Linked DNA regions of Schizosaccharomyces pombe. The gene in region 2 interacts genetically with the main gene of each other region. Each region holds a gene or a part of one and is shown on either strand. Other genes may lie near its edges.

What was found.
Region 1: of cgs1 (region 2) and rsv1, extra expression of one rescues a mutant of the other (dosage rescue), as found in Schizosaccharomyces pombe (one study listed by BioGRID).

Annotation. Positions count from the first base shown.
Region 1 is NC_003423.3:2,884,928-2,890,479, forward strand, and holds rsv1 (DNA-binding transcription repressor Rsv1), read left to right. Parts: upstream 1-3,522; coding exon 3,523-4,809; 3' UTR 4,810-5,052; downstream 5,053-5,552. UniProt on the Schizosaccharomyces pombe protein: Involved in maintaining cell viability under glucose starvation conditions. May have a role in regulating genes involved in gluconeogenesis.
Region 2 is NC_003424.3:3,641,334-3,649,698, reverse strand, and holds cgs1 (cAMP-dependent protein kinase regulatory subunit Cgs1), read right to left. Parts: upstream 6,671-8,365; 5' UTR 6,461-6,670; coding exon 6,331-6,460; exon of another isoform or gene 6,066-6,330; coding exon 4,957-6,065; 3' UTR 4,063-4,956; downstream 1-4,062. Other genes in the region: dtd1 (D-Tyr-tRNA deacylase), read right to left, coding at 98-140; SPOM_SPAC8C9.04 (uncharacterized protein), read right to left, coding at 1,481-3,424; SPOM_SPAC1142.09 (uncharacterized protein), read right to left, coding at 6,854-7,201; DNA-binding forkhead transcription factor for ribosomal proteins Fhl1, read right to left, coding at 7,480-8,365.

The DNA.
Region 1 (5,552 bases), on a different chromosome or scaffold from region 2:
AAAGTAGGAGGAAGGGGGTGATAAAGTAAAGTGGGGATAAAGTAGAGAAAGAAGTAAAGGAGATATTAGAAGCGGCGGGTAAAACATGCACTAAAAGAAGTATATGAAAAGAGATAGTATAATCATAAAGAGAAAGAGGTCATAGCAATTCTCATGCAAGATAAAGGTCTAAAATTCGAGCTAGAGACAAGCTAAGTTAAAGGAGTGAGTTTAGGGATCATCGAAGATGATATGCTGGAAAGATGTTGGGTTGAGGAAGCGAATGATTTCAAATCTACCAATATACAAATACAAAAGCCATTGAGGAAAGCGAATGAAGAAGTTTACAAAATAATTTAATAAATAAATTAATAAATAAGAAGAAGGAAAATTAGAATTGTACTATGTTATATAGTAGTTTTGTTTAGAAGGTGTAATGGAGTTTAAGAGACAAAACTATGCTTGCGATCCGAGTCAATATACAAAGTTAAAAAGAATGTATAAGTGAAAGGAAAGACTGTTGATAATAGGATAATTGTTTGTATTTCGTTCAAAAGACTATTTATCGGTGGGGCGATAATTAGATTGATATAGCGATGATTCTCTCGTTGAAAGATGCCCCATGTCTTATTGTGCCCAAAAAATTTTCGCTTCCAGAAAATGTCACGTTCATATACATAAATGTTTCCCCACTACATTTTTGAAGGCGCTAATTTTGCTGAAAAGTAAATCCGATTTCGGTGGCTTTAGTATAGTATACAGGAGGAGTGGGTAGAATATTTTGCCAGTAAGTAAATAGTAAATTAGGTCAGATCCGAGACGGGAAGGCAAGAAGAAGGATTGAAAAAGGTTCAAGGAGAAGAGATTCATGAGAGCGATCGAATATCGTTACCACATATCGATCAAGATTATTTTTGTTTTGATTTTTTACTTGAAATCTGGGAACGCATTGCACTAGCAAGATTGCGCGACGCAACGTAACGTATCCTACCGCAACGATTTCATACTAAACGTCCTGTTAAAGGGACAAGCTCGTTAAGCTGGTACTGCTGCAATATCAGCACTCGTTTCAAAGTAGCATGTTGCTCGTAAATACGATATTCTTAGATGACGATGATCCATGCATGACTGATTAATAGTTCGTTTCTTAATTAACGAAGGTGGGTGTGCCCGCGTTACTTAGCTTGGCAAAGGATGAAAAAGTTTATACATGTGTGTGTGTCTAAGGGCATTGCAATTCCATCGCACATATCAACCAAAGTAGGTAAACCAGAGAACCCTTTAAAAAAAAAATAAAAATAAAAAAAGGCTTTCTATTAGCCCGGTAAATGAATTCGACGGATGACTGTCATGATCGATGAATAGTTGGAGTTAGCAATAAAAAAAAAATGAACGATAAGCGGCTAATTTCACATCAAAGGCTCCCGCGTTTCTATACGGACCGAAACACCTGCCGAGGCACGTATCCACTTGTTAAAACAAAAAAAAAACGAAAAACAGAAAAATAAACCCTCAAGAAAGGAATTCTTTCTTTCTATGAGTGTAACAAACATGGGCACTATGAAGATTGTAGACTTTTTAGATAGTACAATAAATAAGATTGCTACGTTCTTCTTGTCATATAATGTAGTCTGATACTTTTTTTTATCGCATTTCTACCGCAGTTTCCCGGGACTTCGTTACGCATGCTACTGCTTTTCAGTCGTCTATCCTACTTACTGTTACTGCTAGTGTGCGCTGCGGGGTGCTTTTGGTTGGCGGAGGTACTCTTGTCTTTAGCCCGCTACACCTGAAATCCCTAGTTTGCCCCGCTCCCCATTGTTCGACCTCGCTACCCTCAGAGCCATTTGATTGACTTTACATTTGGCTTTGTTTGTTTTCCTTTGGTTGGTGAAGGGTTAATTAGAATTTGAATTTCTCAGATGAGAGGGGGGGCTAAACAACGCACGCGTTTTCACCTTCTCCTCCTCTTCATCCCCATCTGCTTTGCTAAGAGATCCATTTCTTACAAATCATCCATACATCCTTAAACAAACTTTCTGCATCTCTCATTCTAGATCGTTGCAAACTTAGTTAACGAAGTTTGTTGGATTTAACAGTATGTGATGCTTAACAACAAGGTTACATACTTGGTTTAGTAGTTTTGGGGGGAATTAGGGGTTGAACCTTAAATGCTTTACCGGCATCAACTCGCTGCTAGATTTTGGTTAGGACTGGTTCGCGAGCGAGGCCTTACCTCCAAATTAGCCTGGTTAATCCCCACTTTATACCGTCAGTGCAAAGCATGCCATTTCGTCACGATTACCCAATGAACCAATGAGAGGGTTTGCCCTTGGAAAAAGCCTTAGGCCATATGGGAGTCATAAAATTAGGAAACTGGAGAAAATCCACTTTACCCCGCTTTTGCATCGTAAGTAAACAATGGGGTAAATCACCTAGTTTCAAGTCGTAAATTTCTCTTCCTTTACTTATTACCCCAAAAGCAGCAATTTTCACATTTTTTCAAGGCCGAAGGTGGTTGCAGCTTACTTGTTGTATACTCACTTGAATTCATATCGTTGAGCTTGTCCTTTTGTCTACTAGAATTCTCAGCTCTCCTGTTTTCTTCCTTGTCAGTGTTGACGGTTTTTTCTCCTTTTTTTTTCTTTCTACGTGTCTCAAGCTCTTCTTCCTTTCCTCTTGACACACAAATATTATTAAATTAAACAAAAAATCCTTCTCATCTATTTTCCACTCTTCAAGCCTCGTAGACCGCTGCTTGCCTTATTACTTCCAATCGTCTAGTCTGTCGAGTCGTTCTGCCTTTCATAGCCTCTGCCTTTTCTTCTATTGGCATCAAATTTCAACTTTCTTGTATCCCTCGACGTATTTTCAGTCTGTAATCGTGCCGTAGCACTCTTTCACCCTTGGTTTAAGCACATCTCCTTGCTAGCAATTCGCTGCTTCTTCTCTTGCCCCATTGCAACTAATTTCGTTTCTACTTTCAAATTTTTGTTTTTGTTTTTCTTTCCTTGTGTTTTGTTGTTTCCTAGCGCTGGTCTCTTCATTTTTTTGCTTGCCAAGGGGTTTCTTCGATTTCGACTAAAAACCTTTCATATTTACTTCGACGGGCGTTTACTTGTTTCCATCTGCTGCACAATCGCCTTTTTTTATTACGGCTAAGACACGAACTTTAGATTTTGAACTGTGTGAGTAATCCCCGATTACTCAATTTTAATACAAAGAATAAAGATTTGTCGAAAAAGATGAATGAAGCCTCAACTTCATTTTAGCCTTTTCTTTTTTATTGTTATACTATAAAAGCTTTCTTAATACAAAGTTTATCTACTTCCCCCACAATCTTAATTCTTTTTTTTTACTACTTCCTTCTCGACAATTGCCTGCTTGATCCGCTGGTTCGCGTGTATTCCCGTTGATTCGTGCTTAATTTGGAATCGGCCTTTTCCACTCTACTAATCTTTACCTCTAGTAAACCTTTCCTTTAATTTGAGAATATAAGAAATTCTCTGTCTTTATTTAAGTGCTTTTTGGTTCTCCCGCAAAATGAAAAGTTACGAATGCCCCTTTTGCAAGCGTGTTTTTCATCGTCAAGAACACCAAGTCCGTCACATTCGGAGCCACACAGGTGAAAAGCCTTTCGAATGCAGCTATCCAAGTTGCAAAAAACGCTTCACGAGAAGAGATGAATTGATCAGACATGTTAGAACACACTTGCGAAAGGCCCTTGTTACTCCGGAGCAGACACTGGATGTCAACCTCCACAAAGCCCCTGATTCGAAACCGGAAGGTGACAAGTCTACAGGTCAAGAAGCTGATAAAAGTCAAAATCAAAGCAAGGATGGCTCGATTACTGACCCGGTTCAAGCCGCTGTACTTGCTCTTTCAGTTGCTTACGCCAAACCCACCTCTGTCTCGCTGTCTCCCACCGACTTGCAAGCCCAATCTAAGCTAATTGAAAAACCAAGAAGACGTTCCGCCTCCAATGCCACCGGCTCCTTAAATAAAAAAAATCAAGATCCTTTGAGACGGTTTTCTATTTCAGAATCAGCAGGCGCTGCTGCTCCAACTCCTTCTCCCTCCAATTCTAAAAGTCCACCTTCCGAAAACAGAAAGAATCGTTTACAAAACGTTCTTTCACCAATTGCTAGCAACAACGTCCCTGATTTTAATCAGAATTATCCTACAGAATCGAATCCTATGTTTTTATCAACACCACGCTTCCAAAACACTAATGGACAGCGTACCTTGACCGTTCCCGTGTCTGTTTGGGATGCTCGTCAACCTCCTACTTCATCCCGTTCAGGTCTACCTCTTTCAGTGATGTATAATCATTTCCCGTCCGTCCCCATTCCTCCAGCGACTGTTAATGACACAAGCATGGAATATTATCTTCCTAATGCTTATCCTCATCCTACTGGAATTTCTTTACCCTTTTATCCATTCGACAGTGGTATCCCTGTTTCGCCCAACATTCCGGTTTCTCCTAGTTCATCCTTTGTTCCAATGTATCCTACTACCTTTCCGTCAAGTAAACCACAGATTGTTAACGCACCTCCCGCCCCTTCCTACTTTTCTCCAGGCAGTTCATTTGGTGCACAACTTTGCGCCAACGGCTCCACATTACTAAGGGCCGATACTAAACAGTACGGCCTTGCTTTACCAAAGATAACTAATTCTAACTTAATAAGTCCAAATCAGACATTTAATCCTGTTAAAAGCAGTGTCAAAGCTCTTCCTACCCTGGAGCCTCCTTCAAGTCCGTCTCACGCTACCGCCACCTCTTCTTTGCATACCTTGTTCCATACTGCTCCTTCCAGATCTTATGATTAAGGTAGCTATTGAAGCCATGATAGGTGAATGAATCCGCTCACTTATTTACATTTTGAAGTCTTTTTACTGATCGTTTTTTGGTTCTTAACCGAGGTAACACCTTGTAAAGTATTGTCCTATCCTCCACAATTTTGAGGTAACATTTCCGCAGCTTAAATTCTGAGTTTATGATGACGTCGAAAGTAGGTTGCAACAGATTGCGACTGTTTCAACTTCCTAGTTTCGTTTACCCTCTTCGTCTTTAATAAACCATTCAATTTTTTTTACGTTTTTTTTTCTTTTTTTAAAAAAACTAATTATATATACCTTTTTTCCTTTTTACGCTTACCTGAAACGAAGAAATTGACGTCTTTGGTTCCTTCCTCCCTGACTGACTTGAGTTGCCCAGGTCTGTGACAAGCCAGTTGGAAAGCTAGCTAGCTATCCCATCCGCACATTGTTATATATTCACGTCCTCGGAAATCCAACTTCTTTGCAAATTCTTATAAAAAAGATCTTACTTGTTATAAACCACGAGTTAATGTAACAAACACGTTTTTGTTTTAAGTTCTTCATTTCACACTAACGGCGCGTGCTGCTTGAGTTTGTTTTGAGAAAAGTTACCTTTGGAAACATCTGTGTTTACTACTTATTTATTTGATTAACGACTTTTCATTACCATCCATCCAACTTCATCATCCCTCTTTTATTTTTTTTGACGTAAAATAATTTTAAAACATTTGGCTTCTGCCTTTAGTTTCAAA
Region 2 (8,365 bases):
TAAATAAGTTCATAAACATTGAGTTTATTAATAATTTATTTTCTTATTACCGATTATAAAATCCGTCCAAACTTAGTATATATTGATTAATACTTACCAGAAACAGAAGCATTTAAAACTCGCTGAATTACTGCCTTCATGTTTTCTACTGTTCAAAAAAAAAAAAGGTAACGAAGGATGGACAGAACCGAAGACTATTAATAATAACAACAATAATATATACTACGACAACAAAACTGCAGAAGTAGTTTTAATAGTAGTAAAGCAAAAAATTCTATATAGCAGGTAGTGTGTTTGGTAAAGGGTATATTATACTGTTATCAAATAGAAAATTTATGGCATATAATAATTGAGTCGGCGATCTTAGATAAAAAGGAAAATACAGCTACGTTATGCGGTAAAAAGTCATGGCTGACTCCGGGATGAATATGAAATATACTCAAAAATAAGCGATTCATGGAAAAATTGTTAAAAGTTAATGTTTTCAACCGCCATGTAGATTTTGTCATTTGTTTAAATTATATACACTGGTCTAATTTACTATTTAAAATACTTAGTACATGCGCAACTTAATGTAAAGCAAGCATACGGAATAGTACGGGAAAGGGTATCGGGTAGGAAATGGTGATTGTGAGCCGATGTATCCCAAAACTAGAACTAAAGGGTATCCGAAGCGTAAAAAGTTCCACGGCCTCAAAATCCCATATAAACTTACATTCTACACTTACTTAACCCAGACTAAAAAAATTAAAAAAAGAAAACATGGGAGAGGAAGAAAACTTACACAAGTGAAACGAGTAAACTGAAATAGTAAAAGCCATTTATTTCGCAAAACTTGAATTGCTGAATCTAATAGGTATAATCCGTACCATCGGAATCAACTTAAAAGATTGAGCAATGTACAGCAAATTTATGTGTATATATGTGCGCATATGGCTGCATGAATAGTTTAGAAACAACATGCGCAAAGAAAGCACATAGCAAAGAGGAAAAGGTATAAAGACTTGAAAAAACAGCATGTTATGCTAGTCAAATCATTACAAACAAAATCAAAGAAAACATAACGCAAACACTTCAGTGGCATAGTCGATCACACAATAATATCCAAAGTGATATAATGGAAAGCAATTAAATACGAAAAAAAAAATCCTTAAATACAAAGATGGAGATTTTTTAAAATTAAGACTACCCAAACCAACTTATGGAAACTAATGAGTGATTTGAAAAGAAAAAGACTGGAATACAAAACAGCAAAATAATGAACGATCGATTGTTAGATCAACAATTCGGCTTTATTGTCGAATAATTAAACATCAATAATCCAATTTCAAACAAATAGCCCAGCAACACTCATTCACTCACTCAAATCATCATCATCATCATCATCATCGACACCGTCATGTCGCTAAAAGGTGAATTTTTCAACATACAAAAATAAAAGACGGAAATCAAACATATGCCCAATGCTTCCAGGTAAACCCTAGTGGAACAGTTTGCCAAAAGACTTTTTCATACGTTTGAACCAAGACTTCTTGGGAGCTGCTTCACCATCAGTGGCGGTTTGTGCCTTTCCATCAGCCGTCTCATTCTCAGCTGTCGCAGTGGCACCAGCAGCAGGAGCTGGCTTGGTAGTGCCGGCAGCATGTTCCTCAGTAGCAGAAACAGGAGTAGGTTTGGTGGTGGCAGAACCAGGAGTAGGTTTGGTGGTGGCAGAACCAGGAGAAGGTATGGTGGTAGCAGAACCAGAACCAGCAGCATGTTTAGACTCGACGGTATCAGCAGAAGTCGGGATAGGAGCAGCAGCTTCAATAGCGGACTTCTTTCCTCCTGGTACAGCAGCCGACGTAGTACCGGGACTGGAGGGAGCAGATGCTTGTTTTGAAGGTCTACGTGCATGCTTGGAGGACTGGGCTGATTTGGCAGGCGTGGAAGGAGTCGTTGGCTCTTGTCCAGTAGAAGAGGGTTTCCTGGCAACCTTATGTTTCTCGGCGGACGCCTTGTCATGTTTTGACACCCTTTTGGAAGCAGTGGTGGTTTCCTTGGAGAAATCATGAGCAGTCTCGGTAGGGGCAGTGACAGCTTCTTGCACTGGGTGTTCTGCAGTGGTACCTCCAACGGCCACTGGGTTTTCAGACTCGGTGGGAATGGTCGAGGGGACATTTACCTCGTTCTTGACAGTGGAAGAGACACCCTTGCCAACATCGGTCACAGTTTCAGTAGCTTCTTGGACAACGGAAGACTCGTATTGCTCAGGTTGCTGAGCACGGACGGGTTGTTCAGCAAATCTCGCGATTTCAACCGTTTCGGCGGTGGGATGAGGAAGGTCCTCCTGTACAGTTTGTTGCACCTCTTCAAATGCTCCCGGAATGCCACTAGCACTAGCTCTAGCACTGGTTGTTGCCTCATGCGTCACACCTCCCTGGCCAAGGGCGATGGGCGATTCTTCTTCCACCGTTACTGTGGTGGTATGGGGGATGACATCTGCATGTGGAATGTCGCTCGCATCCTCGAAAACCGTCTCTTGCTGAACGTTTTCACCAATGCTTTCAAGTACGTTATCATTCATAATTCCATCGGCCACTGCATGTGACTCAGCAGTGGCAGTAGTAGAGGCAGAGGCAACTGCTGCTGTTGTCGTAGCTGCTGCCTGATCATGCGTAGTATTTATTTCTTTCGATATCATAATAGCTTCAGGCTCAATGGGCTTCAATTCTGGAATTTCTTTCTCAGCGGTAGTAATGGGTTGTGAAGTAGCTTTCGCCATGTTTTCCTCTACTTTCGAAGAAGGTTGCGCAGCAGATGTCGTTGCTGGCTTAGACGTAATCGAAGCTGGGGAATTACCGAGTTGCTCGTCATTGCGCTGGGGTGCGAAATGTTCGGCTACGACGTAATCAGCGGATTGTGTGGTTGCAGTAGACTTTGTAGAAGCGGATGAGGAGGAGGAGGAAGGGGAATTGGCGGGTTCGGTAATACTTGTATTGCGTGCTTCCGTAGTTGGCACTGCTGTTGACGTGGAGGCAGAGGGTTTGTTGTCAGTAGGCGGCTCTACAGTACCCAGAGCTGAGGATGCTATGGGTTCCAAAGGCTCGTCAACCTGATCAGCGTCTTTCTCCACTATAGTTTGTGTAAATCCTGGCTCTTGTAATATGGTTTGTTCTTGTTGTTCCTCTTGCGCGTGCTGAGCTTCTTCCACAGGTGTGGAAGAGGCAGATGCTGCTGCTGACTGCTTCTTCTTTTTTGCAGCCTTCTTTTTGGCGCGTTTAGCGGCCTTCTTCTTGTTATCCTTGGTGACGGACGCCTGGGAAGAATTGTTATTCTGCTCGACCGCGTTGGTACTTTTCGAATCCAGCTTCTCCTGGACTCTCGACGTTACTTGGTGAATTTCATTTTTCGTCTGTTTAACAATATCGGGATTCGTGGTCATATTCAACTCAATTTTTGTTCTACTTTTACACGCTCTGCGTTCTTGTTTGGTGGTTGGTAGAAGTTGTAAATCTTGGCGTAACTAGAATTTATACGAAACCCTGTTATGTGAGTGAAAAAATGCATATGTAAACAAAGTTAATTCAGACGAAAGTAAGACACAAAACAAAACATTTCTTTACCAAAACATTGCTTCGCTGATCATCTTCTTAATATTACAATTTATCTCGAGTGCTTAACTTTATTCTGCAGTAATTGTCATTTCTACCCGTTGTGCTTGTTGTGAATAACCTACCCTACTAAGAACATTCACAGTAAATATGTAGTATGGAATATGGGGAAAAAAATTTTTCTTGTTTAAGAAAACCTTACGCATAGTTCGCAACTGTAGTCGTTTTTTTATTTATTATGTTCGCAAGAACATTGAATGTACGAAATTGAGTATTCTTTAAAATTTTTTGTATCCCATTTCGTACGGATTTGATAATTGAATAAAAGTCCTTTCGCTTTTTGCTGAATTTATTTGTCTAACAAGATATTCGTTTTATAAGTTTTTTACACAATTTGCATTCTCCTAGTTACACGTATCGTTTATCGCAGACTGTAGTTTCATCTAATTTGCACCCCTTTACTCAAAACTTGGTAAAAATTTTGTGTATTGTATTAAAAAACTATTCTCAATTCTTGATATTAGTCAATTTCTCATAAAATTTTTAAAGTTATGTCACGTAACTACAAAAACCGAGAACTCACTCAGTTTGCATACAAAACATCCACACTCTTGAATTTTTAACACTTCATCCCTTTCCCCACGTCTAGCGTCTGCCTAAAGCTTTCTAAGTATTTCATGCTTGCAAGTGTTTACGGACCACGGTAATTCTTGTATAATGTGCGTTACTCCAATGCCAAGTACATTATTGAATGCAGCTGCTGTTTTGAAGAGTGTGTGATTATTCAAAAAACAAATATAAGAACTCTCCATATAGATAGAAATATTTGACGATATCAAATATCGATTAAAAAACAAAAAAAAACAGGATGAAGAGAACGATAAAATAACTGTCATGATCCGTACGAAAAAAAAAACACAAACTAAACGGTAAGCTTCCAAACATCAAATGCTGCGATATTCGACAGATAAAAATAATAAAAAAAAAAGGAAATTTCAAAAAGAAAAAAAAAAACAAAATAAGAACAGTGAAGTGGTAATCACGAATATAATTGGAATTAAAACATTAACAAACCATATCCAGTGCCATGCTAGAACAAGACATAAAGGTTTTCAAAGAAATAAAAAAGAATAATACGTATATATACATTATCACATATAATGCTGAATTAGATAAGTAATCCAAACAAAACATGTTCAACATGAATAAGTAAATTATTCCAGGGATAATGGTAAACAATCACATGCATGCATGACCAATATGAAAAAGTTAGAAGGCAAACAAACAACAGGGAAATTCTTTAGCATATCATGACAGGTCATTATTACAAAGATAGTTTCAAAGAAAACAGATTATAGAAATTTTATGCTTTAGTTGATGGAGGTGACCTATGAAGAGATTGGTCACCATACTCATTATCCATTCCCATCCTGGCACGAGGTTGATTACGCATCAAATCGATCGCGTTACCAAGTAGTCTATTAAATGTAGGTTTATCAAATGTAGCAAGTTTCAGGCGAGTTTTTGCCTGTACCGTCGCATTTCTCACTGTTTCGTGAATTAAAGCTAGTTCACCAAAGTAATCTCCCTTGGTTAGGGTAACGACTACGCCTTTGCCATTCTTCACTACTTCAGCCTCGCCATCCTCTATCAGATAAAACTGGTTACCAATGTCGCCTTGTCGAATAACGATGCTACCGGCTTGATACACGACTGTCTGAAGAGCATCGGCAATTTTTTGTCGTTGATATTTGTCAAGGCTTGAGAGAATGGGAACTTCTTCAAGGAGGCTTTCATACAGCATCCTCTGGCGATATGCGTTTTCAAATACGATACGACGGAAACTTGTACGATCTAATGCGTAAATTACATTATTTGGTGTTTTGGAGACCACCGATGCAGCTCGTGGAGCATTATACATGAGTGCCAACTCTCCAAAATATTCACCGGGAGAAATCGTAGTTATGTAGTTACCATAACCACTCGAAAGCACTTCTTCAGGGGTAATATTTAGTTCGGGCCTTTTGTATACATCGAATTCACCTTGCTCCACAATATAAAAGTAATCTCCAACTGCTCCTTGGACAATGACAGCAACACCAGCCTCTCCAATCCGTTTTTCAGTCATAGCGTTCAGAACCTCGTTGTAATGTTCTTCATCCAAATTCTTAAACAAAAAGTTCCCAGCAACTGAGCGCTTTAGTCTTTTCAAATCTTCAGGATCCTTCGGAGGAAAGGTTCGTTTGGTCTCTAGTGCAAATGCACTAGGATTCATCGACTCAGTGGAAACAGATTGGCGACGCAACAGATTGTAGTTTTGCGGATATGAAACGTTCATTTCTTTTAATCCTCCCAATTCAGGAACGTATTTGGCATCCGGACCAATTGCCTCGGGGCCAGCAACCATATCGTTGAGCTCAGACAGGAAATCGCTTTCATCTCCGTCGCTAAAAGACTCTGTAATGGTGTCGCCTAAAAGAGAAATTTGTTAACATGATAAAACAAAAAAGGGTAAAATTTGTGTAGTATAGAGTGGGAGATTAAATGGGTACAGGGTCCTTAAACAACTTTGTGGAATTATTAACAGCCAGGAATCATAATTGCTGTTTGCTGACTAAATTTAGAAAATACTTACTATAGAGCAAAACAAAGTAAAAAACCACAAAAAAGAACCCATATTGACCATCATTTACTTTTCCTCTCCACTAAACATAGCTATCCAGAAGCATCTACTTACCTCGACGAAATACTGAGCGCTCAGCTTTCAGCTTTTCTCCAAAAAAGTCATAGCAAAATTGAAGTACATCTGAAGGATTTTGCTCATCAACAAGGGCTTTTAGCTCCTCATATACTTCTTCGAAAGACATGTCTCCTAAAGTTTACGTGCCTTTCTTTCAAAAAATGCGGTTTTTTGTTTCTTACTCTCAGTGAATCACAATCTCGCGGTTTTTGTTCGCTTCAGCTTTTCCTGACACTTTAATCAACCACAAGAGGTAAATTTTCCAAAATAAAAGAGCTGAATTCAGCTATACAAATCAGTTATTTACCTTCGTTTGTTACGGTTGAGATGTATGTTTAAAGTCTACCTGAGGCGTTGGACTAAAATGGATGGATGCCTGCATTAGCTCACTCATACGTCATAAAATGTACTACGCAATGCCCTGACTCCATAATATGGGGTTTATCGAAGCGCATAAAAAAATAGAGAGTAGAATGTTTGACGATGCAACATAGCTTGCGTTTTCCAGTGTTTCGGTATATTATTTTGTGAAGCTTCTTGTACATCCGTGAGTTAAGTTAGTTAAGAAATGAATAGTGAGCGGTCTATGGAAAAGTGATATGATAAATATACATCTATAGTAAGAAATTAGAATCGCTGAATATGAGTTGTTTGTTTTCAAAACAAATTCAATGTAACTTTTGAAGTCTATCAGATCAGAGAGCTTGCCCGACAGGATTACAACAATAATAGTTTTGGTCTTATTAAAAGTGCTATAAAAACAATCATTGAAGTAAATATGCTTTCTGTATTGGCTAAACAAAGGTTTCAATGAAAACGTAAATAAGGAATCGCTAATGTTCACAGATAACAAAAGCGAATCCTCCATACCCTTCCTGCTTTGCTATTAACTTTTTCGACAAGAAAACGAAAATGCTTATTAAATGAAATAAAACCAGACGGCAATTTATTATGTAAAGTATTAACTAAGGTAAACATTAAACACATGAGAAATAAAAGTAGAAACCACCCAAAGACCAAGTTGTGCAATCACTGTCAAAAAAAGAAAAATGAAACAGCTTATGCATGCTGGTAAGTGTAATTTTCGGCACTAATGTATTAATTAAGAAGTCATCAACAACGTTACGTGCATGAGCATTAGTAAATTCAGGTATAAGAGGATGATGTCTCGTCCAACGGTCGCTTTACTCCTCGTAAAGCGTCGCTTGAGTTTGATGGTAAATTCATGCCCCTTACTGAAGATGAGTCGTCAACATTGTTTCCGTTCTTTGCATTAGTATCAAAAGATCCATTTTCGTTTTCCATTATATCTCTTTTACTAAAGCTTGATGCATTTCCAATGGAATTCATCCTTTGTCCTTGATTGCCTGTTTCAACTCTCTCTAAAGTATCATTAGGCGAAGAGTATAAAGGCCGATCAGAAGTGAATGGTTTGTTTATTGGTATGGTGTGTAGATTTTGATGGCTTGTTATCTCTGATTTGCTTTCAGAAGCAGTGGAGTTGTACGACGATGATCGAACTGACGATGGCCCCGCGGACACATTAGCCATTGCTCCTGGGGGTAACGGGTCTCCAATACTCTGGCGTGTATCTGGTAACTTCGAAGGAGCAGATGGCCTAACATATGGAGGTGGTCCAACGTTTACTGCAGGACGTTGAGTGACTGAGATACTAGGAGACGGTGATGTTATGTTAGGGTGCGGCATTGCAGTCGGCGCCGGATTAAGTTGCTGTGAAGTATAAGCTTTACGACGCTTTGCCTGTTGTTGCACTTGTTGGGGCCCTTGCATTTGCGTTTGCTGCTTTTGAAGTTTTTGGGCTAAAGCCACAGCGAGAGCATTCGCAATCGCTGTGGCTTGCTCCGGGTTGTTGGCAGCGGCAGGTCCTAGCTGCTTATTAATGTGCTGTTGGAGTAGTGAAATTGCTTGAACGGCTTGCTCGTTGGGAGCCTGTTGCTCTCCATTTGCATTCTTGAAAAACTCGGGGTTCAAAGCAAGTTTCCCATCGCGCATAATGATAGGTTGAATGCCA